Drosophila melanogaster: one gene and its partners. The gene in region 2 interacts genetically with the main gene of each other region. Each region holds a gene or a part of one and is shown on either strand. Other genes may lie near its edges.

Evidence for each region.
Region 1: of Ser (region 2) and N, changing one suppresses a phenotype caused by changing the other (phenotypic suppression), as found in Drosophila melanogaster (3 studies listed by BioGRID).
Region 3: of Ser (region 2) and fng, changing one suppresses a phenotype caused by changing the other (phenotypic suppression), as found in Drosophila melanogaster (5 studies listed by BioGRID).
Region 4: of Ser (region 2) and ap, changing one suppresses a phenotype caused by changing the other (phenotypic suppression), as found in Drosophila melanogaster (2 studies listed by BioGRID).

The regions. Positions count from the first base shown.
Region 1 is NC_004354.4:3,133,357-3,138,862, reverse strand, and holds the start of N (notch), read right to left. Parts: upstream 3,994-5,506; 5' UTR 3,196-3,993; coding exon 3,036-3,195; intron 1-3,035. UniProt on the Drosophila melanogaster protein: Essential signaling protein which has a major role in many developmental processes. Functions as a receptor for membrane-bound ligands Delta and Serrate to regulate cell-fate determination.
Region 2 is NT_033777.3:27,191,028-27,196,848, forward strand, and holds the start of Ser (serrate), read right to left. Parts: upstream 3,241-5,821; 5' UTR 2,917-3,240; intron 1,098-2,916; 5' UTR 716-1,097; coding exon 479-715; intron 1-478.
Region 3 is NT_037436.4:20,946,265-20,952,216, forward strand, and holds the start of fng (fringe), read right to left. Parts: upstream 3,249-5,952; 5' UTR 3,038-3,248; coding exon 2,906-3,037; intron 1-2,905. UniProt on the Drosophila melanogaster protein: Glycosyltransferase involved in the elongation of O-linked ligands to activate Notch signaling. Possesses fucose-specific beta-1,3-N-acetylglucosaminyltransferase activity; extends the O-linked fucose on the Notch EGF repeats.
Region 4 is NT_033778.4:5,723,374-5,729,118, reverse strand, and holds the start of ap (apterous), read left to right. Parts: upstream 1-2,286; 5' UTR 2,287-3,259; coding exon 3,260-3,298; intron 3,299-5,745. UniProt on the Drosophila melanogaster protein: Required for the normal development of the wing and halter imaginal disks.

The DNA of each region.
Region 1 (5,506 bases), on a different chromosome or scaffold from region 2:
TGGGTTTGCATTCGTGGGAATTGGCCTGGTTTTTTGCTTTAGGTGTTATAAATGCATCTCAGACATACAGTACAAAGTTATTTATATTGATGGAATTGAGGTATTGAGATTCGAATTCAATTTGAGTTGGTTATTAATGACTACCTTGGTTTTACTCACTAACTGAAGCATTCTTACCAATTGCTTCTCACATCTTTTAATGATCATTTAATGCATTATTTATTCAAATGTATAGTGTATGGTATTTATGGTATTTACTTAATGTTGCCTAGTTTTGACTTCATGTACTCTTCCTTTTTAAGAACATAAATCTAGGTATTGCTACCCTCATCTCTAGTTGATCCTTCAATTTAAGTGCCCTCCCTCCATTTTCCCCTCTTAAATTTTTATTTCCATTAAATTTGGTTGCAACTTTATGTGGATGATCCATTCCGACCATAAAGTGCACACTTTACGATCCATAACCATGGGCATGTTGGTTATGCATCGCCATACATGCCGACTTCATGCGCCAGAGCTACATACATACTTACGTATATATGTACATGCATATATAGTACTTTATGTAGTATATTTATATTGACTTGAAGTCTAGGCGAGGGCTAATTAGGGATCCGCCGTGTGCGTGACTTACGAAAGTCAAGAAATGTGTTTTCGGTTTTTACTTCTTTGGTTTTTGGGGTGCGCACAGGATATACAGGAAATAGCCGAGAGAGCGCGCAGATACAAAAGTATCTCTACTCTATGCCCGCTCATTTCCCTTCTCGCTCACGATACAAACAACAACACCATGCCGTGCGATGCCATGCCATAGCATATCGTAATTTGATCTTTGAACAAACAGCAAAAAGGACGCGCATGTGCAATATGCCAGGACTCAGGGGTTGCTCCTGCTGCTCCTGCTTCTCCTGCTGCTGTTTCACTTTTGGCTCCAGGAGCCCAGCTGTCGTTTATTCCAACTACATTCTTTCTATATGCGCCTGGTTGTGTACATATATGATGAAATCGAATGCGGTGGTTGGTTCTGGTTCTCGTTTCTCGAAACCGTTACGTGCCACATTAAACCTGCAAAAAAATAATACCCTAAATTTGTGGCTAAATGCAGGCGTTCGATCGCACAAAGTTGAACAAACTTGGATTGGAGCTAATGGGGCGTAAATTTGTGAGAACTTAATAGGTACAAAAATGTACATGAAGATTCGAGAGATTTTTGTTTTTTTTTTTGGTTTTTTTTTTCCATCTTCGAACACTTTTTTCTTAGCGCAGTAGTAGAATGAAGTGAACTGAATGCAAAGGATGCCCTTTTTGTTTTTGCAATATATCCTGGCATCAATTAACACTCTTATTATTACTACTTTCAGCATTTTTTTCACCTTTATATGCATATGCATTTGTATACTTTTTTATACCGTTTATTTAACTTTTACTACAACTTCCTTTGGCTAAAACTGCAAAGATCACACGATTACCCATGGCTAATAAAGCCAGAAAAAAAAAGAGTTTAGGAGGCGGAAACTCGAGCTCAGGAAATGCCCAGGTAAAAGTTATAAACATAATAGTTCAACGCTCTTCGGTTGCAGCTGTTAAAAAATATAAAAAAAATAGCAGAGATCATGGAGTGCGTAATAATAAAGTTGCCCAGTGCTCAGGGATCAAATTTCTAGTAATGATCATTTAATTGCTTTTAAACGTTTGATGGATTGATGGATTTCGATAGATTTTCGAATAATGAAACAACAAAAAATTCTCTGACATTATCAAATTTGTTTCAAAATACTATGATATCGAGCTGCATTCCCCATACTTTCTCATCGTTGAGCCGAGAATTCCGTCGAAGAGATTTCGAGTTCCATGGAAAGTTGACATTTTACTGGGGCAATCGACCCTAAGTACACCTACAACCGATCCGATCCGATCCGATACGATTCGGTGTTTGTTCAGTGATTAGACAACGACCGCTCCATATGCAAATACCCAAGTAAGCCCCATGTGCATGCGGCACAACACAGCGTGTGGAGGAGGAGAGTTCGCTTCCAAAGCTGGAAAGGAAGTTGGCCACTCACTACTAGCGAGCAAATAGCGCAGTGAGAAAACACAAAGGAAAGAGTGCCTAGAGTGCTAGGGGAATGGAAAAACTCGCCTTTTGCCGACGGTAAAAACGGTCTTTCTTGTTTCGAAAAGGTGGGTTTCCAAATCTGAGAGAGCATGCGCAGTCGGCGGAGAGCGAGACAGCGACAGCGATCGAGCGAGAGCGAGAACGAGATCAGCGAGACAACAAGGAGAGAGAGAGAGAGAAAGAGAGAGGAAAAAAAAACGACCACCTGTCCGAAAAGCGACAACAAAGCGAAGCCAAGGAAGACAGCGCAAAAGGAAGCGCGGTGAATACAAGCCATGAAAAGGAAGGCGAAGAGCGAAGAGGAGCTGCCCAAAAGGGAGACAAACGAAGAGGATCGAAAAGGGAATGGAGAAACACAGAGAACGCATTTGGGAGCGGATTCCGACGATTGCGTTTAAAGTGAAATTCTTTAAGGTAGGATTTGCAACAATCCTATAGGCTTATTAAGCAGATTAAGTAGCATCACTTCCTTTTTGGATTACAGTTGCATGGGTTTGCTCAGTCACTTATATGTGTTGCGAATGCATCCGATTTTATAGACCAACATTTCCTAGCTATGCAATGTAGCGATCTATCCAACGGGTTTAAGCGGAACTAGTCCAATGCAAATGTATGTATATTTTGTAATTGCAATTTTAGTTGTTTCATACTAAGTATGCTCCATTTAAAACTGACATCTAAGACCAAACAATTATGCGATTCAGTACTATTAGTTGAGATCCACATCTTTCAGCTATACAAGATCATCTTATCTCATAGTTTTGGTTCTGTAAAAAACCGTTCTTTGGCAAGCGTTTTGGAACGTTTTGAGCCTCCTGGAATTCCAGTTTGTGCACCCACCCTATTTTCGGGCGACCCCGCCTGTCACCCTGCCCTCCCCCCGCCTAGTTGTTCTGATCGGCGTCTCCGCTTTACTCACCAGTTCCGCGAACGGTGTTTGGCAAATTCGCAAACGCCAGCGTCAACAGCAGCAGAGGCAGCGACGCCGGCAGCGACGCAACGGCGTGCATTTTGTTAATCCAAAAACAAATCCAAGTGTTTGGTGCGCGACTGCGACGTCGGCTGCGCTGCGATTGCATTGTAATCCAGTTTTCCAGTTAACCACTTTTCCAGTTTTTCACCTCTACTCGCTTCTCGGTTTCTTTAGCGCTCCTCTTTGGTCTCTCTTTGAGGATATGTTTAACTGCGAGTTTAGGTTTAGTATGCTAGTCTCAGTAGTTTAAGCAATTTTTTGTTTTAGCGCGTTTGTTGTTTTTTTGTTTTTTTTTTTGTTTTTTATAGTTTTGAACTTCAGACTTTAAAGCTTTATTTGATAAACTAAGAGGAGGCACTCTCCCGACGACGGCGACATTTTCCGTTTTGAAACATAAAAAAAAAGTGGCAAAAAAAGAACGCTTTTCGTGTATCTTTTGCTTGCTTTTCTCTTCGCGAGGATCGAGCCACAAATTCAAATTCAAACCGACGCCGCACGCTTGCGTATTGCTCTCTTCCTCTTGCGCTTCTTGCACTCGGCTTTCGTCTCACTCTCACACACGCGCGACTCGAGGTAGATACACTTTTCGAAAATCCTTGTTTCTCTCCCTCTCTCTCTCTCGCTCTCTGTGTCGCTCTCTCGTTGCTATCCCTGCGACAGGCACTCCTTGCTCTTGCTGAACGGCTTTCCCGCTGGGGCCATCCTTTTCATTTCATTGCATTTGCTTGCTGTGTAATTGATTTGTTTGTATATCCTGTTGGCAGCGCGATTTTACGTGCGTTGTTGCACACACATTCAAAAAAAAAATAAATGTTGAGAACTGTGCTCTGCGCTTTCCAGGTTCGTCTGCCTAACGCTCGTCCGCTTTCACAACCGTTTCGTCCACTGGAAAAAAGCGATCTGTTTCAAATCGGCAGTGTGACCGCGTCGGTGCAAGAAAAAGATACCGTATGGCGGGGAGCCATTTTGGCAGCGCGCTCTTTCGCAGCGTTGCGAGATCGGTTGGTGAACAAATAACGTTAGCCGGGCTCCGAGCCGCTTGCATGAGTAGTTTCCCCATTTCGCCGAATGGCGCTTTAGTGCCGTCATAGCGGTATGTAGAAATTACGCTATGTAAAATGTAAAATTCGACAATGTAAGATTCGTAGAAATTACGCTATGTATAATGTAAAATTCGACAATGTAAAATTCGTAGGCACTGGAAAAAAATGTGCATAAATTTGATTGAAAAACGCACTTGTAGCATTTTTTAAGTATTTTATTTTCCTTTTGTTCTCGTATCTTTATTTCAACTAATTTGAGTTGTTCTCGACTTAAGTTAGGTTTTCCCGCAATACGTTCTTAGTTTTCATTTTCCGTACCTTTTTTTTTCGCAACTCCGCTTCCTGCAATTATCATACTTTACTTGGCTTAATAGGATTTCATTTGAATTTCATTTCGTTTCGTGTGTAACGTCTATATAATTGAACGCTTAATTGAATCGTTTGACAATTATCGAAAACAAAAAAAAATATGTAACACCATACTTATCTCCGATTTTCGGAACGCTATCCCAGTTAAAAAGCTCGGCGCAATTGGCCCACGGAAAGAATAGAATTAGATTCGAGTGTATAAATCAGTTTAAACGAACGGGCATTATTTTTAAGCATTTTCAGAATTACTTTAGATAAATACATACATATGTATATTCTCGAAAGAAACAAAAAATAAAATATGAAACAATAAATTAGTTAATTAATTACAGTATTGGCTTAGTGAATTAAGAACCCAACGAGGAATCATAAGGCAGCATTTCGTGTTAAAAATTGAACGCTTTACACTTAATTGCGTTTTTTTTTTTTTTGGTAGATCGCTCAAATGTTTTACAAATTGTTTCTAAGCTTTTTAAGTTTTTCTTTTTACCTTTAAAATTCTTCATTTACGTCTATAAATAGGCTTAAACCTAAACTAGGCAGACAAAAAAAAAAAATTACAAACATTCTCTCTAATCTTAGCTAGTCATTTTTTAATTCAAGCGTTGACATACACATTTATGCTCTATATATATATATATATATATATATATACGATATACAATATTTCATTTGCTTCTTTACATAATTGATTTAAGTTCAAATATCATTTACGCGCTTAGGGCTAGACAAAAAAATATTCAACTTTTCACATGGATGCTGAAATGCTGTGCCACTGAAAACCCGATCAAAAAGTTGGAAAGTGGGAACTATATATATATATATATATATATATGTTGGTGGTTTTTCTAATTTTATTCACTTTACTCGTAAATCACCAATATTTGGACATCTTTTTGTTTTTAGTTTTTTGCGGCTTGGGGATTATCGATTAAATTGCAATAATACTGTAGCATCCCGTAAAAATATAGTTTTCAATTCAATTTCAATTTTGTTTGTTTGTGT
Region 2 (5,821 bases):
GCAGTTATCAAAATGCTGGTAGATTTGTTGATATTTTAAAACGTAATGGATACATTAATTGAACAGGGAAAATATATCCTCTATTTTAATCTCAGCATTTTCAATCTTATTAAATAACTTAAGACTGTAAATGATTTCTGTTTTTTTAACGCGTTCTACGAATCTTGTTTATTGACATATGCTTGATTTACTGCTTTGAGAAAATTCCAGCGTAAGAGCTCTCATTAAAGACAGCTCTTCGGGATGCGGAGTTGATAAATCACTCAAAAAAATAAACCCAAAAATCATCATTATTTACGTCCCCCATCAAAACTTTGCCCTCAGCCATTGCCAATTCGCATGGGTTGAATCAACTTTGTCTGTTTTCTTTTGGCCTTTTTGACGAGACACTACACCCGCATGTATTTGGATCTGGGGCTTTTTGCGATTATTGCTTTGGGGATTCGATCGTTTTTTGCATGTTGGTTGGTTTGCTTACCTTATGGACTAACAGTATTAAAATTAAAGCAATTAAGTTGCAGGCAGACTTTAATGATCGACAATCGCGGATCGTCGATGGCAGGGTCGCGATTTTGGGTACCCGATGCCTCGGACGCTGCCTTTTTGTCGCCGTCTTCTTGGACATTCCCAGGCTGTCTGCTGATTCTATTGTTGACTCCAACGACGACGACGTAGCTGGTTTTCGCCGAAAATGTTTCCTAAACATTTTGTACATTCTGGGGGCGTTTGCGAGCGTGATGCTGGTTGGCGATCTAGATGGAGTTTGTTTCGGATTCACTCTGGATTGGCACCACACAAATGTAAATTCGCTGGGCAGCCTTAATTAGCCCATGTATGCAGATTTTGGTGCCTTTGTTTGTTTCTATTTTGCCACACTACACTTGCTCTGGATAGCTGAATAACTGGCCGTACTCTGGATGCTGTATCATTTTCTCCACTTTGCCTTCGTTTTGTTTGGTTTTGTTTGGATAATGTTGTTATCACACACAATTATTATTTATTATTTATATGGACCTTAGTATGTGCTTCTCTCGTTTTTGTTTTGTTCACACTTGACACTTCCACTTGATAGGCGCTGATGTTTTGTAGATCTTTAGCTGTAACAATTGTCGAACGAATTGGAATTGAAACGGGCTGCGCAAAATCTATTTCACTGTGCATCATCAACGCTAATTGACACGCAGATGATGCTGCTGCTGCTGCAGTTGCAGTTGCAGTAGCGGCAACCGCAGCAAGCCGCAACAAGTGCCACCAGCCACCGCAGCAACATTTACTTTTGCCAGACCGCAAAAAGCGGCAACGTGCAGCAAATGCAAATGCAATTCAATTTATGTTAATTTAACGCTGTTACTGCCGCTGCTGATGTGGCTGCTTCTGCAGTTGCTGCTGCTGCGACTATGGAGCCGTGTCTTTGGCCACAAACAATTTGCATCTTGTGCGCATATTAATTTACAGATATTTTCACTCTTGCTCACATTACTCATTCTTCCCACCCTGCCGCTGCTTTTGCCATTCCGGCCATCCTATCCTCCCATGGCCTTTAGCCCCCCAGCCCGCCCCGGTTCCTCCTGCTCGGGTGTTAATTGTCCATTTAATTAAGTAATTTGCTTGGGGCCTCCTCCCGGCTTTGGCACGGAACGGAAGTCGTTGACTTTGAATCGAAACCCAGATGCTGCCGCTCTTGCTCATGCTGCTGCTGCTGCTGCCGCTGATGTGGATGTTGCTGCTGCTGCAGGGCATGACCGGAAGTGGCTTTTGCAAGTGGATGATGCAGCTACCTCCCCCTTAATACCCCCTAATACCGCTACTTTCACTCTTCTCTCTTGGCAATTTGCAAAACGATGAATGAACTTCTAGCGGCCTCAAAACTTTAGTATACCGTGTATCCATTTCTATTTCTAGTAACTTCTGGATATACTCTGATTTATCAAATAATTGTGCAACCAGATCACCGTCTTGAACTTAACGATCTGAATAAGCTTTGGACCGTGCTAGATCCGTTATTCGTTGCATATGGTAAATCATTGAGCAGTGCATCGAGCATTTTCCGCGCTCTCTTGATCAGGGGCTTTCCCATGCTCGTACCACCCATTCAGAACCAAACTGATTTCACAATCTCTCTTTTCTCCCGGTGCACAGAAGAAAACTACACTACTTCATCTATACGGAAAGTTCTTTAACTTTCTAATAAAACATTTGTTATTCAATTCAAAATTCTTTAAATTTAGAAAAAAAAATCCGTGTTAAGCATCGCTTTTAGAAAGTCAAATACTTTCAATAGGTTGTTTGGGAATCCCACTTATTAAGTTCTAGTGGAAATTTCTCTATGTGCGCCCATTATTATTATTATTTGTATTATCTGCGTGCATTATGAACTAGTCGGATGTTTTCATTCTTTCTCCCTTTCACTTGGCATGTTTCAATTCCACTTCGTAGTTGTAGCTTCGTGTGTTTGTGTCCCTGTTTTGCGTCCCTGTGTGCGTTATCAATGGAGCACACTGTGGCCAGCGATTCCCCCGGAATGGGGCACTCGTTTTCGCATATTCACATTGTTTGCACTTTTACTTTTCGCCTTTGATTAAACACAATTTTGACGGCATTGTATTTTGATATATTAATGTATTGTATTTAATTGAAAGGTATTTCCGTTTTCCTTAGCTCACACGATCTGGGCTCAGAAATTAATCACACACTATGGAAACACACACATAGCAAAATGTCGGCTGATTGTCGATCTTTCGATTTGCTTTTCTTCCACCGAGCATTTGTAGTTGATTGCTCTTCATCATTTGTTGTAATCAGCAAGCAATTTAATTCGATTGCGGCACATTAAACACTTTCACAATTGTTATATGGATGATGGTCGGTGGCGTTCAGTTTGGGTGCACAATAATCCAATTCGAGGAGGGGTTTTACCGTTGACAGAAAAGGGGCTCATCACCGCTCGAAGCACGGCGCTCGACTAAACGCGTTAACCGAATCCTGCGGCATTTCCAGCCCTCGAGCAGCATCCATTCACGGGGCGGAGCAAGTCACGCGAGAGAGCTGCGGTTTTGGTGGTGGTAAAGGTGGTGAGGTGAGCTGTCGCTGCTGCTGCTGGTGGTGGTGGTGGTGGTGGTGATCTGCAGTCTTAAGAGAACTGTGGCTCGGTCTGAACCACCGAAACCGCTTTCAAAATAAACTGGCGACGACTTCCGCTGAGTGCTGCGTGCGCTTCAGGCTTCGACTAACGACTGATTGCCTCTGGGCACAAGTTGCCGTCGATCCCGAGAGCTTAACTCGCAGCGATTCTCTCTGTGCTTCTCTTTGAAGAAAACCAGTTTGCTCTTCGTGCAGTGCTCTTTAGCCAGCCGCTGATTGGTCGTACGACTGTATATAGCCCCGGGGCCCGGAATCTGAATCAGAATCGGCAGTTAATGGAGTTGCTGCCGCTTCGGCTGCTGCACGCATGCGCGCCCGAGGCTCTCGGCTGCCGTTTTTTACGATTCCAACTTAATTATGCCAATAAGTGCATTCTGGGGCTGTGTGTGTATGTGTGTGTGTGCTCCAGATCTAGTAGCTCCAAGGGACTGGCAATTAACACCTAATATGAAGGAACGCTCCCACAATCTTTAACGGCTGGGAACCAAATCGAAAGATACTAGCATCGGCCAATTATTAACCACACAGACAGAGCGGCGACTTCCATCCAATTATCTGCTGGCCAAAAGTGTATAAATCAAATTTAAATGCAACTGGCCTATCAGTGCAGCCAAAACAAAAGACTTAAGCAACAAACTTGGCAATTACATGCGGCCAACAAGACAGGCGGCAGCATCTTTGTTGTTGCTGCTGCCTACCTTACTGTTGTTGTTAGCGGCTCATATTTCTTGAGGCGCATATCTAAATATCGAATCATGTTGCTGATTTTCCATTGTCTGCCCACCACAGCAACAACAGCAGCAGCAACAACTGCTGCTGCCTCAACAACTGCAACAACACATAGTAAATCTCATTGTGCCGTTGTGACATGACTCTTGTTCGACAATAGATAAAACAAATTGACTTGGTGTGTGCCCAAAATGTCTTCTCTAGCCGTCTCCCTGGCCATTTGGGTCTCCATCCTCCTCTATTTGGTGGGCGTACTGGGCAGCGGTCTCCCAGCTCCTTTGTCATCTTTTCTCGCTTAAAAAAAAAGAAGAAAAAAAAAACAGAAGAAATGGAAGAAAAACTGCACTACAATGCCCATTATCAGCTTACATATCTGCGACAAGAGACCCCAGAGCGGCAATTGTACGGGCCACCGAGACGGCAACGGCAAAGGCAACTGCCAGCGGCAATGGCAACGGCTTCGTTGTCCAAATATGTTGCAAGTTGGTGTTATTCTTCACACGGCATCATAAATTTCACGTATAATTGACGCTTTCAGTTATATCAAAATTGGCTAAAAGGCGACGACCAGCTTTGCGTTGGTGGCCAGCAGACTACAGCCTTCAGCCATCAGCCTCCAGAGACTTCGAGCTGGTGCTCCCCAGAGATATTATTTTTGCTCACTGTGGCTTACATTGTTTTCGTTTTGATTTCAACTAATAGCAGACAACGACTTACAGGTGTCTTTGTGCGCGTCTCTCATAATTTGGGGGCACTCTGTGTTGGCGGCTTGTTGGACACTTGTTCGGGTTTGATGGCATTTCTTTTTTGGGATTAGCTTTCGTTTTCCGGCCAAGTGTTTTTGTGTTTTTTGGTTTTACTGTCACATGTAACAGCTGCAAAAGTGGACCAGAGCGGTGGCATAAATCCATAAAATCAAACATATTGAGTAATCAAAATGTTAAACCCACCCTCTTGACAAAGGTTCACCCCCTCAAACCAAAAAAACCCTCGTTGGGCGAGTTCATTAAACAAACAGGCAAATATGTTGGCAATTTCAACCAGTTGGTTTTACACCACTCAACATTTTATGACAGATTTTTCAAGTGTTTTTTCCGCCTCCTCGTTTTTCTTTTTTAATTTTTCACTCCTCCTGCTGCCGTTGTGGTGGCTGTTTGCGGTTAGTGGTTTCTGGTGGTTTAGTGGTTGCCACATAGTGGCCGCCCTTCGTCCGGAGAATCATTGCCTTAGGTTAGTTGTTTACGAAGGCTTTTATTGGCACACAGCCGGGTCAGGAGATTTATGGGCAATATTTTTAGCGTAAAGTTACGGACACTTCAGAGAATACTCGAGCCAAAGAAATTGGAAAAAGAATGGGAATTGGAACTGAGCTCAAAGGGGGCAGCACTTTTCCCGAAAACCATTGCGGTATTTACTTTAAAGATCTGTGAGTGTTAGCTAATAGTATTTCACACTGTTTAGCTAAATGGTGTATAAACTACAAATTCTATACAAAAGAGGGGTCGCTGAACTTAAGGAAAATAATCTGATCTTATTAATTTAAATGGTTATTGCACTAAGAAGCTTGTGTAAAACTAAGGGTTGCAGCCCATAGTATTATCTTGGCTAAATGAAATAGCATCATTAAAAATTATAGATCTTAAGCTAAGTTAGGATAATATAACTTTTCAATATTAGAATATGAAGATAACGAGATTATGAAATTGGCTTTTAGAATCCGTTGCGCCTTAAGTATTATTTATGTTAATACTGCTTACAGTTAAACTTGGTATAGTTTAACTACAGATCTTATAAAAATGATATTATTGCTCTACTTTTTAGGAAAGTAATGTGGTTCTATAGGGGCTGAGAACACAGCATTGTGCAGCTTAACGAACTTACCACTTTCCAGTTGTGTAATGAACAGATTATTCATGACGAACCATCCATCAATGTGACCACCTGACCTGAC
Region 3 (5,952 bases), on a different chromosome or scaffold from region 2:
ACAACAACAGCAGCAGCTCAGCAGCCAGGCATCCGAGCATCCAGGCTCAATTAAGCGACCACCAAAAGATACCCAGATACCCAGATATGGGTATCTTTTACTCGGTTGCCCAGCTGCAGATACTACTCCTTTTATCAGGCGCCTTCCGCGGCTTAATGTCGTCAACTTTTTCGGGCTGATTACGTGAGCGGCGGGCAGAAGGAGGGCTTTGTGGATCGAGGGGCCACGGAAAGGTAGCTGCAACCAGCTGCATTAAGTTGGCCATGGGAAGTGAAGAGCAAGCACCTGCTTTTGGCCTGGCCAAAAACAGGAATCACATCATCATCATCATCATCATCGTGGTCTTTGTCTCTCGGGCTGCCTCGAAGGCTTCTTGTGGCTGTTGCTTTCCTCAAGCTGATTTGCATGCTCCTCAGCTTAGGAGTTTGTTAATGTTATTATGTATTTACCATGCACTCGTCAAAAATATTTGAAAGTCCATACTGGAAAATAAATTCGGATATCTTAGAAGAAGAATTAGATGTCATTACAGAAAAAATCTATATTGTGCACGTTCATAAATGCACGTAAGTAATCTACTATCCATATCGATGTGTCATCGGTAAGCTGATCACAGTGTAGCCACAACAAACTACTCAAATCAATCAGCGACTGGTGGCCATTTGGCGCGCCACTTTAAAGAAATTCATAAACAAGCAAATCGTTTGACGATTATTATTCATTTCGTTTCATTTATGATTTATGCGTCAGCAACACGCGACATGCCAACCTGGCGACCTGGCGACGTGAGCTGCAACTGGACATGAGACATCAGATACTGGGAATCTTGGATAGGCAGGGTTGTGGGGCTGATGGAGACCCCCATGACAATACCCCCGCCCCGCCCCCGCCCGATTTCGAAATTATTGCTTTATCAGGCGAATGCCAAGCCCAGTTTAGCGCGAGTATGTGTCCAGTCGACTGTTTAGCTGTTCAACAGTTCGAAGAATCGAGCCAAGCCAAGTCATGTCAAGTCAACAAGCAGCACTTTTTGCGCAACATTTAGGAACAAAAAGAGAACACTCATATACGAAGTACGAAAAGAATTAAGCAAATTGTACGCGGCATGCAGTTTTTAAACTGGGACAAGTCACAGACCTCCGATGGAACAGAACTTCAATTGAAAAGACAAACAACAGTACAGCAGTTGTCGACAGTTTTTTATCCGGCTCAGTATTTAGTAGTGCGATGTGTGTGTAGCACTAATTCCTGCCAAGTTTCCGGTTAGCCCCAGAACACAAAAATAAAAAAAAGAGTAGAGCAACTGGAAGAGCCACAACGTCAACAGCATTGTCCGAATTAAAACAACATAAAGTTTTTAATTACACTAGCAGCAGCATGCGAAAACATTACAGGGGAGCCTCCACAAACTCGCCTCGAAGCCTCGAAGTTGGGCAATTGAGTTGCAAATTGAGAAGCCGGAAGGTGGTGAAGGGCAAGGGGATTACATGGATATTTTTGAGGATGCTGCAGCTGATTCAATTATGAGCTCTTAACTCTATTGCCAGCGGCTCGAATCACTAATATTATGAAATTTGTAAGCCTTAGTTAGGGAGCTGTAACAGTTGAAGGTATAACTACAGCAGTAGGGTTCATTTAACAAAAATCGAACTATATAAAGAAATGTTGGAAGAAAACTTTGAGGAATCTGTATATGCAACTGATTAAAAATATGTGCACTATTTTCTTATGGCGTCGTTTCATTTAAAGTTTTTAAAATATGATAATCCTAGAAGGTGGACACATAGTTCGAATTTCAAGGGTTCTAAAAATAGCCTGTTCGCATAAAACCCTGCCAAAAAGTGTTTGCAATGCAATAGGAGGCTAACTAAGGCCATTCCCACGGACCTCAACTATTTGTTATCTGTGATGCAACTGACAAGGTTTTCCACTGGACGAGTCCATTGAGATTCACCTCCATGAGATCCCCCCTCGCAGCGCACACCTTGGTAATATTAGCACACAATATTTTATTACACAAAAATTTATGCAAAAATCAAGAGTAAGAAGAGAACAATAATAAATGGGCAGAGCAGACAGGGCTCAGAACCCTGACAGGCCCTGGAATCAGGCAACTGAAAGCTTTGGCGACGCTCTGCCGACGGCAAACCAAGAAATTCAGGAACGGTTGACTGGATCTTCGGTAATCGAAACTGGGAATACTCTTGTGGGAATTGGAAAGTATTGGTGATTTTCAAAAATATATTCCAAGTGCCTAATGGTATGATTTTAGGATTTTAATAATGTCTCGATAATGCGAGCCGATCTTTGAACATCAACTTTAACAGAATTACATTCTCTTGTCCTTAAATCAATCAAATATAAGCTTAATTGTAAAAAAAAAAAACAAATAAATTCAGGATCATATTTCCATTTTTGAAACAAACCACTAAGCTAGGCACTACCTCTACATAAACTTCTGCACAATTTCTAAAGCAATCAAGTCCTTAGTTCCAAATGAATTCCCCGTGATACCGATCCCCATCCAATCACCAATCGTAGGGTATATCCTTTTAAAACGCTTCCTCGCCGAAATTTGTGTTCAATTATGATACCCCCTATTAGGGTATAAAAGCGCAAAAAGCCAAGCACCGAAACTGTTTTATATGCAAGGCAAGGGCGTAAAAGGTTTTTTTAACGGCCAAAGCCGCAGCTGCAAAACTCAAGTCGCCGGCGTTGATTTATGAAAGTGCACGAGTCGACGTCGATCGGGATCGGAATCAAAGGGGGATAATGCAAATTGCCTGGCCTTTGCAGCTTTGCAACTTATGCAGATCAGTGCGGAGCACACACGTTTGACAGTTTCGCAGCGCTAACAACACCCACGCAAGCTGGATTATGTCGCCCACTCGAACTCGCAACTCACTTGGATGCCCGGATATCCGTAGGCGCTCTGGTAGAGCAGTAGGGTCATATAGACGACGGCGACGGCTAACATCATGGCTTGCAGGATTCGCTTAAAACGTTGCGGTGGCGAGAGCACAGTCAGGCTCATCATACGGTTACGGACCACTACGCGCACATTGAAGCACCGCCGATTTGATCACTGGGTAGGTTTTATATTCCAATATTAGCTGGTTCTTTTCCTGGATCGTATGAATTCTGCTCGATTTCTGAAATTACGATATCTTTTAAGTTTATTTCGATTTCGATATCGCAGCACGCGCGCACTGACGTCTTGCTTGTGGCAAGCTTGAAAAGCAACTGATTGTGGTAGCGCGATCTACTCTTCTCTTCTTCCAGCGAAAATCGTAAACAAAACAAAAACCAGAAAGACCAGTAAGCGGTGAGAGTAGCGAGAGAGAAAGAGAGAGAGAGAATTCCCTTTGAGCTGGTCCAATTGGAAACGTTAGCTGCTCCAATGGGAGCAGCTGGCGCTCTCTCTTCGATCGCGCTCGCTCTCATCCTCTCTCTTTAGCTTGTGCCACAGTAGCTGCCGAAGGCAATTTTCATGTGCTCGTGTGTCGACCCCCACTCAGCCCACTTCTGATCGGAATCGGGGATTCGGAATCGTGTAAGGCAGCCTTTGAAGGTCCCTTTTCCAGGTGGCGGCCGTATCCTTAAAGTAAACATAGTTCAACTGACTTGGCAGCGCTCCAAATGCGGTGACTTCTTGGCTATGTCATATATACCCCCACTCCCCTCCTGACTACCCTGCCACGCCCCACCGCCCACCGTCGGCGACGACAATTCCATTAAAAGTTGTACGTTGTCACTTTGCGTTAACTTATCTGTGGAGCATGTTGTGCGATCGCATTTTTATTGTCGCCATTGTCTCTCGCTCTCTCCATCGCTCTTTCGCCTGGCTTCCCTACCCTGCCCACACAGGGAAGCCTACACACTCTTAAATCATGCACTTGGAACAAAAAGTGCAAGCATTAAACTTTATTTAAACATTCAAGAGCCGCTCCTCTATTTACCATTGAAATTTTATTTCAAATAGAGAGGTCTTTTCAGATTATATTATACCTTTAAGTGGCTTAGAAATAGTTAGACAGTGTATTTATGGATAAGTAATTAATTTAACTAAAAAATACAAACAGAAGAATTCTTTTACAATAATTTCAAACTACTAATTTCTACATCCCTTTCTCGCTCCGTGCATCAAATGCATCCACATCTCACGTGCGTCGGCAGCGTTCTGCGACGTTTCTTTGTCGCTCGGTTTTTGTGTAGCACTTGGCCTGCTCCCCACTTGACAATGCTTTGCATGCCAGGCACCATCCAGCAGTATCTTCCCGTTCCTCCTCCTCTTGCTGCTCTCAGCCCATTCAGCTCGATCCCATTCCATCCCAATCCGAATCCCATCCTACTCCTCACCAGCTTGTCATATTCCATGTTTGTGGCGGCGACAAAAGCTTTTGCGGACACCTCTGCCCGCGTCGACTGCGCTGCCCGCACAATCAGCAACTCGGCATCTTGTTCGCTGTCCCTTTGTGCGCCTTTCGCCTGAATTGCATTAAGCAGAGTCGGCGGAGCACTGCAAGAAAATAGTGAATTCGTATTTAATTCGGTAAGAGAACAGCATAAAAATGTAAACTTTTATCGCCTTGTGTCAGCTGAAAAATCTATCCAACCCTTAATAGTTTAATGTTTTAGATTATTTAAGACTGAGCCCTTTAAATACAAAAGCTTAGCATAAATTTAGAACCATCGACAATTACCCAGGGGCTTTAAAACTGTTTAACTTAAGTGGCCATTGTGTGTACCCAAATGAGCAAGCAAAATCAATTGGCCTTCACAGTGTTTTAATTATTTTTATTAGTTTATTATTATGTCAGTATGATTTTTCTACCGGTGCAGAGACGGTGGTAGCGGCGACGCAGGCCATTCCAACCTTGTTCTGCCACAGAAAAAGACATCGCTCGGCTGGAATCAGCCGCCCGCTTGCCACGAAACCCTCGGAACCCACTTCCCATTCCTCCGTATTCCGCCCACTCCCATTGCTCATTTTTAATGTGCAATTCCGTATGTACAGTTCGTAGCCATGGCCACCATTCCGCTCCGTATAAGTGTGTGTGTGTGTGTGTGTTTGCATAGCAGCTTGGTTGCCGGTTAGGCATGTGCCACCTCCAGCTGCAAGCTGCCTGTTCCAAGTTCCGATCCCCAGCCTCCAACTTCGGCTGCAACTTCAACTGCATCTTCAACTGCAACTTCAGCTGAAAAGCCCAGATCACAACCTAGCCTTATAACCAAACGAGTGCAGCTCCGTTTATCGGGCGGCCTAACCTTGTTAGGATTGTAAAATGTAAACCGAAGGCGTTGCCACGGACTCAGTGCTCAACTCGGACTTACACATCCCAAACCATTTTAAGATCTCCATAAAAATTAAAAAATAATTGTTCAATAACACTTTTGAAAATACCATACAACTTCGCATGCAGCTTGCAGCACAACAAAAATGTTTTCTGAAATGGTTTCACCTTTAAAAATAATTTGAAATCACTTTTTTTCAGTGTAGCCTAGCTCTAGCTTCTCAACTGATCGGCTGGGCATCCAGATAAAATTTCGCTCGGCTGGCACACGCTCAAGTTGCCTCCATCCGCGTCCTCGTCTTGGTCCTCAACCACGGTCATCGTTAATCGAAAACGGGCTGCGCCGTCGCCCTGCGGTTACGAGTGTCGCCAGGCCAAAGCGAGCCGCAGATGGAGCGGAGGATGCGAATGGTGATGGGGATGGAGCAGGGTAGGAACGAGAGTGCTTTCAGGGCATCAACGAAGGGGCCTTTAAGCCTGGCCAACAACTGTGCGCGTGCGCAGAACCGCCAACCTGGCAATGTGTTCATTTCGGTACCATATTTCGTTCGGTGGTGCAGGAATTATGCCCGGTAGTCATGCAGCTCCAGCAACTCATGCAGCAATACACCGCGAAATAAACCTGAATATTTTATTAGCTCAGCATTTAAATAACTTT
Region 4 (5,745 bases), on a different chromosome or scaffold from region 2:
TATTATTTTACTGTGTTTGAGAAAATTGAAATATCGCCCATGACGTCGTAGGATACCCAATTTTGAAATTTTAAATATGAGTTATTAAGGGAATATTCAGTTTTAAAACATCTGTGAAGTACGGATTGACAATTTTTGACAAAAAAAAAAATTCTTAATTGGCTAGGTTGCCTCTGGTAGCTATCCGTCATGGTGTTTTTTTTTTTTTATTACTAAGCTGTATTTTGGAGTGCCATTCTTGACTCTTTCGAAAGGATAATTTATAATATTATTTTTATTCAAGTAAGTATTATAATTTTTTTTTATAGTCGAGTTCGTCGTCTATTAGATATCCCTTACTTAGCCAAATTAACTTCGAGGGAGACAGGTTCCTGCCCCCTTCTTTTACACTTACCACTTATTATATTTATGGTATCTAAAAACTTCAAAAGTATCGGAGTGACTCGAACTACATATTTTTAGTATTTCGTTAGATGTTGACTAAAGAAAACTTAACTGCCACGAATTCAGTATACCCTTATTACGTATTGTAGAGTAGAATTCTAACAGAGGGATGAGATGGTTATATTTTCTAATAATCACATAACATGATTAACGTTTATTATACATAAATCTACAATTATTAAAGATCAAATCGGTTTATACACCAATGTTTTACCAATGATTACTGTTACCGTTATTTTGTCCTTATGTGCCCATCTCTTATAATGTATTAGTATATTTTACGCACTTTTGTAAGATGGGCCTGTTTACAATAAAAAAAGATGTAAAATTTAAAAGAATCTATAAACAAATTATTATGAGGCACTGTACCAATTATAATGGTCTGAAAATACTGCATGTATTCGCATTTACTCTTGTCAATATTAAAATCATGAGAATTCAGCTGTGTATATTCGTAAGGAATAAGGACCCAAAATCTGTGCCGACGTCCACAACCAATCCACCCAATCAGTTCCGACTTAACCGGGGTTCTTTGAAAGCCCTCTTAAGTCAACAAGCAACAATAGCAACAACGAGGTGAAACATTTTGCCCAAAAATAAAGTTAAATGCGAAGGCTAAGTCGCACAAACATTTCAAATACGTAATACATGTTTTAAAACTTTCTGCGAAGAGTTCAAAAAGCAGCGGCGAACTTATGTATGTAACAGCAGAAGTATATTAACAATTACACTTAAAAAAATTTCTTTTTCAACGATTGAATCAACGTAAGCTGGTTGAAATTCTGAAAATGCATTGCAGTTAATGGCAAATATTTTACATTATTAAAATGTAACCGTAACCTCAACCAAAACTTGCCAAATATATGTAAGTTACAACCGGCAAAACACTCAAAATGTCAAACATTTGTGGAATCATAGTGAATGCATACCACAAAAGCTGAATATTTATAGCTGTAACTGCAATAAAAGTATTTAACGTTAAATCTGCTCCCTAAGCCATTTGGAGATTTGTGTGCACTTTGTTTCAAGCTTGTGCGGAATTAAAGGAGAAGTGACAGCAAGGTTCTATGATGACAGTTCTTATTGGAAGCAGGCGACAACTTGGGCGTAGTGCTGGTAGCGTTTGAACTGGTTGAGAATTATAAATACACCTGTCAAACGAACCTATATTCTTTCAACATTTATAGCGTCAGCATACGAAAACACAATAAATAGCTCTCAGTAAGTTAGTTACAACTTTTCTGCATGATGTTTTCAGCATGAAGACGGCATATATAGACACCATGCATCTTTTCATTACACAACTAAAGAATCAGCAGAGTCAACCGAAGACCCGCTGGTGTGAGAGTTCGTTCCCCTGTGCGTCCTCAGACCACTGTTCGTCCTCTGCGAGTTGGAATTCCTGTCACGGACTCCGCTCGCAGCTTCCAGTTCGAGTCTGGAGTCCATCCTCATTCATGTGGCGTCTGGCGCACAGCTTATACTCCTCCTGACTGCTGCTACCGCTGCCTTATTCACGTTTTGCAGCCGGCCAACTGTCCGGTGGGCGGTGCGTGGGGAGGCGATTTCGGCTGGTGCGAGAGCGCGGATAGAACACCACGCCCTCTTCGTCTACTGGCTGTGCTCTAGAGCGGGAACGAGCTACTGACGCTATCAGCTGAGAGCGCCGCCATTTGCCACTACGTGAGAGCTGCGGAATGAGCGTGTGTGCAAGCAGGATGGCAGCTCATGCGCGACATCGCACTCACTCACACTGGCGCGCGCACATCACGCACGCAAACACACGGCGAACGGGGCGGTGGAGTTTTTTGGCTTCTGGCGCTGCGCTCGCACAGCGTCCAAACATTCCCAGTTTTTCAGCTGCGACGGCTGGTTGTCCTCACGATTTTGAGTAGATCAGCTGCAGACCAAAGTCGGTAGTCGAGTTTCGAATTTGAGTCGGTTTTTGTTTTTGGAAGCGGTGCGCGTATTCGATTTTTGTTTTGACTTGAGCTCGGCTGTAGTTTCGGTTTGCCAGAACTGGATCGAAGGAGAATCGACACAGAAACAGGGAGTTGGCGAAACGGATACAAAACTGAAGTTGGATCGGTAATCGCCTGCCCGGTCATAAACAACAACACAAGGGAGCACAGCCGCATACGCATACGCGCCTCTGTCTCTAATGCCTTATCAGTAACAGGCATCGTCGAGTGTCGTAGGAAGAGCCCGACAAAGGCCGACCTTTACCACTCAATTTGGATCTGATGTGCCATTCTCGCGCTGTCTCGTAAATTAATGTCATAAATTAACTTTAGATTTCTTACGCTAACCGGTGGTCGTCAGCGGTCCGAAAACGCCTTTGCGCTCGAGATACAGGGGCGGTTTCTAATCAATACAAATATCCTACCTGCCGCCGAGTCAAGTGTTTTAGTGAGTGTGTGACCCTATGTTCCTTATATTACCTTGGTGCTAAGGAGAAAGTTTAAAAAAAGCGGCATTCAAATCGTAGTTTGTGCAATAAGAAAAGGCAAGCCAATGGTGTCAATCTCTAAGACAACGCCGAAGTGATGCATGTCCGCAAAGTAATAGATCAAGTTGTGCGCACACTTATTACCGGCGAGCCTAGCCGGGCATCTAATCGTGGCCAGTGTCAAGTGTCCAATAGCACATCTAGCCGGGGTGTAGAGGATTACCCAAGACCAACGTAGCACCGCAGCCCTTTTAAGGAGGCATAAGGCTCGCAAGACACAACGCACAGCCTACACAACGACAAACATAACACGACCGACGGACATCATCCTTGGAAATAGACCTCGTGTCATTCCAAAAGACGCACATGGGCGTCTGCACCGAGGAGCGCCCTGTGATGCATTGGGTAAGTTCTGCCGCCGTAGCACATAAAATCCAAAGTTACCAGCGATAAGACTAAAAAATAAGTCATCCACCAGTCCGTCCCAGCTCACCCAAACTCTGCCCTTTGTGATTAATATTGATCCGAGCCTGGGTTACTCGGAGTTATCAATACCAGACTGAAAGCTTGCCTATCAACAGACAGCCCCACTCAATATCGATAAGAAAGCCGCTTGGGCATTTCAGATTAAAAACAGTTCCCAGAAGTGTTCAATCAGTGGCTAGTTCGCTCGTTGAAACATTGCTGTAGAACGCGGTTACAAAATTTCAATGTGATTCCCTGCCTTAATTTTTATTCATCTAACTTAGGTTAGAATCATTTAATGTTTAAGAAGGCAGATTTTTGATGATAGTCGTACTAATCAATATACAATCAAATTGGGCGGCATAGTCGTGCAAAAAAATTAATAGATATGTAGAAATCAAAATACAGGTAAAACAAATATGTACGTTTTTACGAAATTTTTGTATATATCTGATATTCGACGCGAACGTATTCAGTTTTAGAGAATAATCACCGTGTGCCAATATATACCAATTTGATATATTTTAATAGTAGTCAATTGACCTTCAAATACTAATTTTTAACGCGAATAAGGCATTTTCTACCACACAGAGATATTCTTGTACCATTTTTTTGAAAAGAACGAATTGCCTTGATGAGTTACATGAACATCTTTTACCTATTTTTGATTTTGTCATTTTTAATTGCTATTCCTATTTTGAAACATAACGCATTCCTTATACTTTATGCAAACAATTTTTTGTTACTTTACAACTTTGGTGTTTGAAATCTGTGTGTTTGTTTTAATTCCCATCTTTTGTATGTTTTCCAAATGTCATCGATTACTGTAAATCGAGATGTACGAGTATTCGAATTCTAGTCTATATATACCACATCTATATATTGTACAAGAATTGTATAAGATTGTATTGTATAAGAATAGGAAAATCGTAAATAAATTGGAAGAGTAAAATGGTATGAAACATTCGTTGAAAAGTATGTAACAGACAGATGGAAGGGTTACCGACCCTTATAAGGGATATCCTTGATTAAGGTCAATAGCCGAGTTGATCTGGCCATGTCCGCCTGTCCGTTCTTTTATTCGTCCAACCGTCCGTCCTTTTAAACGTTTTAGGAATTGTAAAAGCTGAAACCTAGTCTTGAACATTCATATTGTACTGCCGTTTTAAAGTATTTCCAAGTCCACTAAAACAAACTCCCATATCTCAAAATTCTTTCTTCCTAAAGTATTCGAAAATGTGTTGATGATGTGTTTACCTGATAAATTCGGCACATCGATCAAGTTACGAAATTGATTAAATTCGGACTATTAAAAATTTTATAAAAGTAATTTTAGAGTTTTTTTTTTCAAATTTTTATTTTTGTACATTTCTTTTTATATATAAAAGTCGAGTTCCCCAACTATCAGATACCCGTTACTCAGCTAGTGGGAATGAAAACGCAACATTTCATCATTTTGCTGGAATATCGTTAGATATCGGTGAATAAAATGAACAAAAATTTAAATTTAAACCGCCAAGAAATACGCTTTTGAAATATGTTTTGATATTTTTCATGTTTTATAAGTCTTTAAATTTTTACCGATTTGCCAAAAAACTCTTTGACATGCACAAACAGCCCAAAGCGGCCACGCCCATCTTGATGAAAATGTTTTGGTATATTTCCGTTTTATGTATGTATTGTAATACCAAGAAAATTTTTAACACACCCTTTCTAACTTATCATTCGTCTTAATTTTTTTTCCAATTTCTTTCGATATGCAAAAAAATTGAAATTTATTTTTCGCAGTCTGCCTAGCTGAGTAACCGATATCCAATAGCGAGAAATAGACAACGAATTCAAATACATTTTTTTGTAGCTGTCATTTGCCCGTAATCAAAATATCGGAAACATCAATAAGTCCTATTGTTAAGTTTGTTACAAAACTCAATTTTAATTCAATTCAATTTTTTCTACAAAAACTCAATTTTAATGTGAATAAATACAAGGGGAAATTTGCTTGATATTGTGCGCTTGGCAAATTAACACAATAAAAATATTTTTAGTGCACTAAGTATCATATACATACATATGTTTGCGATTCTTATATTCTTTAAAATAGTAGAAACTTTTTCGATCTTTAATGTATTTTACAATAATGTTAGGCATTAACGGTGCTTATTATATTATTATACGTTATTATAACGTATTATTATTATTATACGTACACATCCGATATACTCTGTTTGATGACTGTGGATCGACAATGTTAGGAACTTCAAATTAGGAACTTACAAATGTATCATTTGATATAGCTAGAAAAACACAGACATTTTTTTGAAGTAAGTGCTTTCTGTCTACAGAGTGGCCAAATAAGCTTAAAAGTTGTTTGAATATTTGTAGTGGTA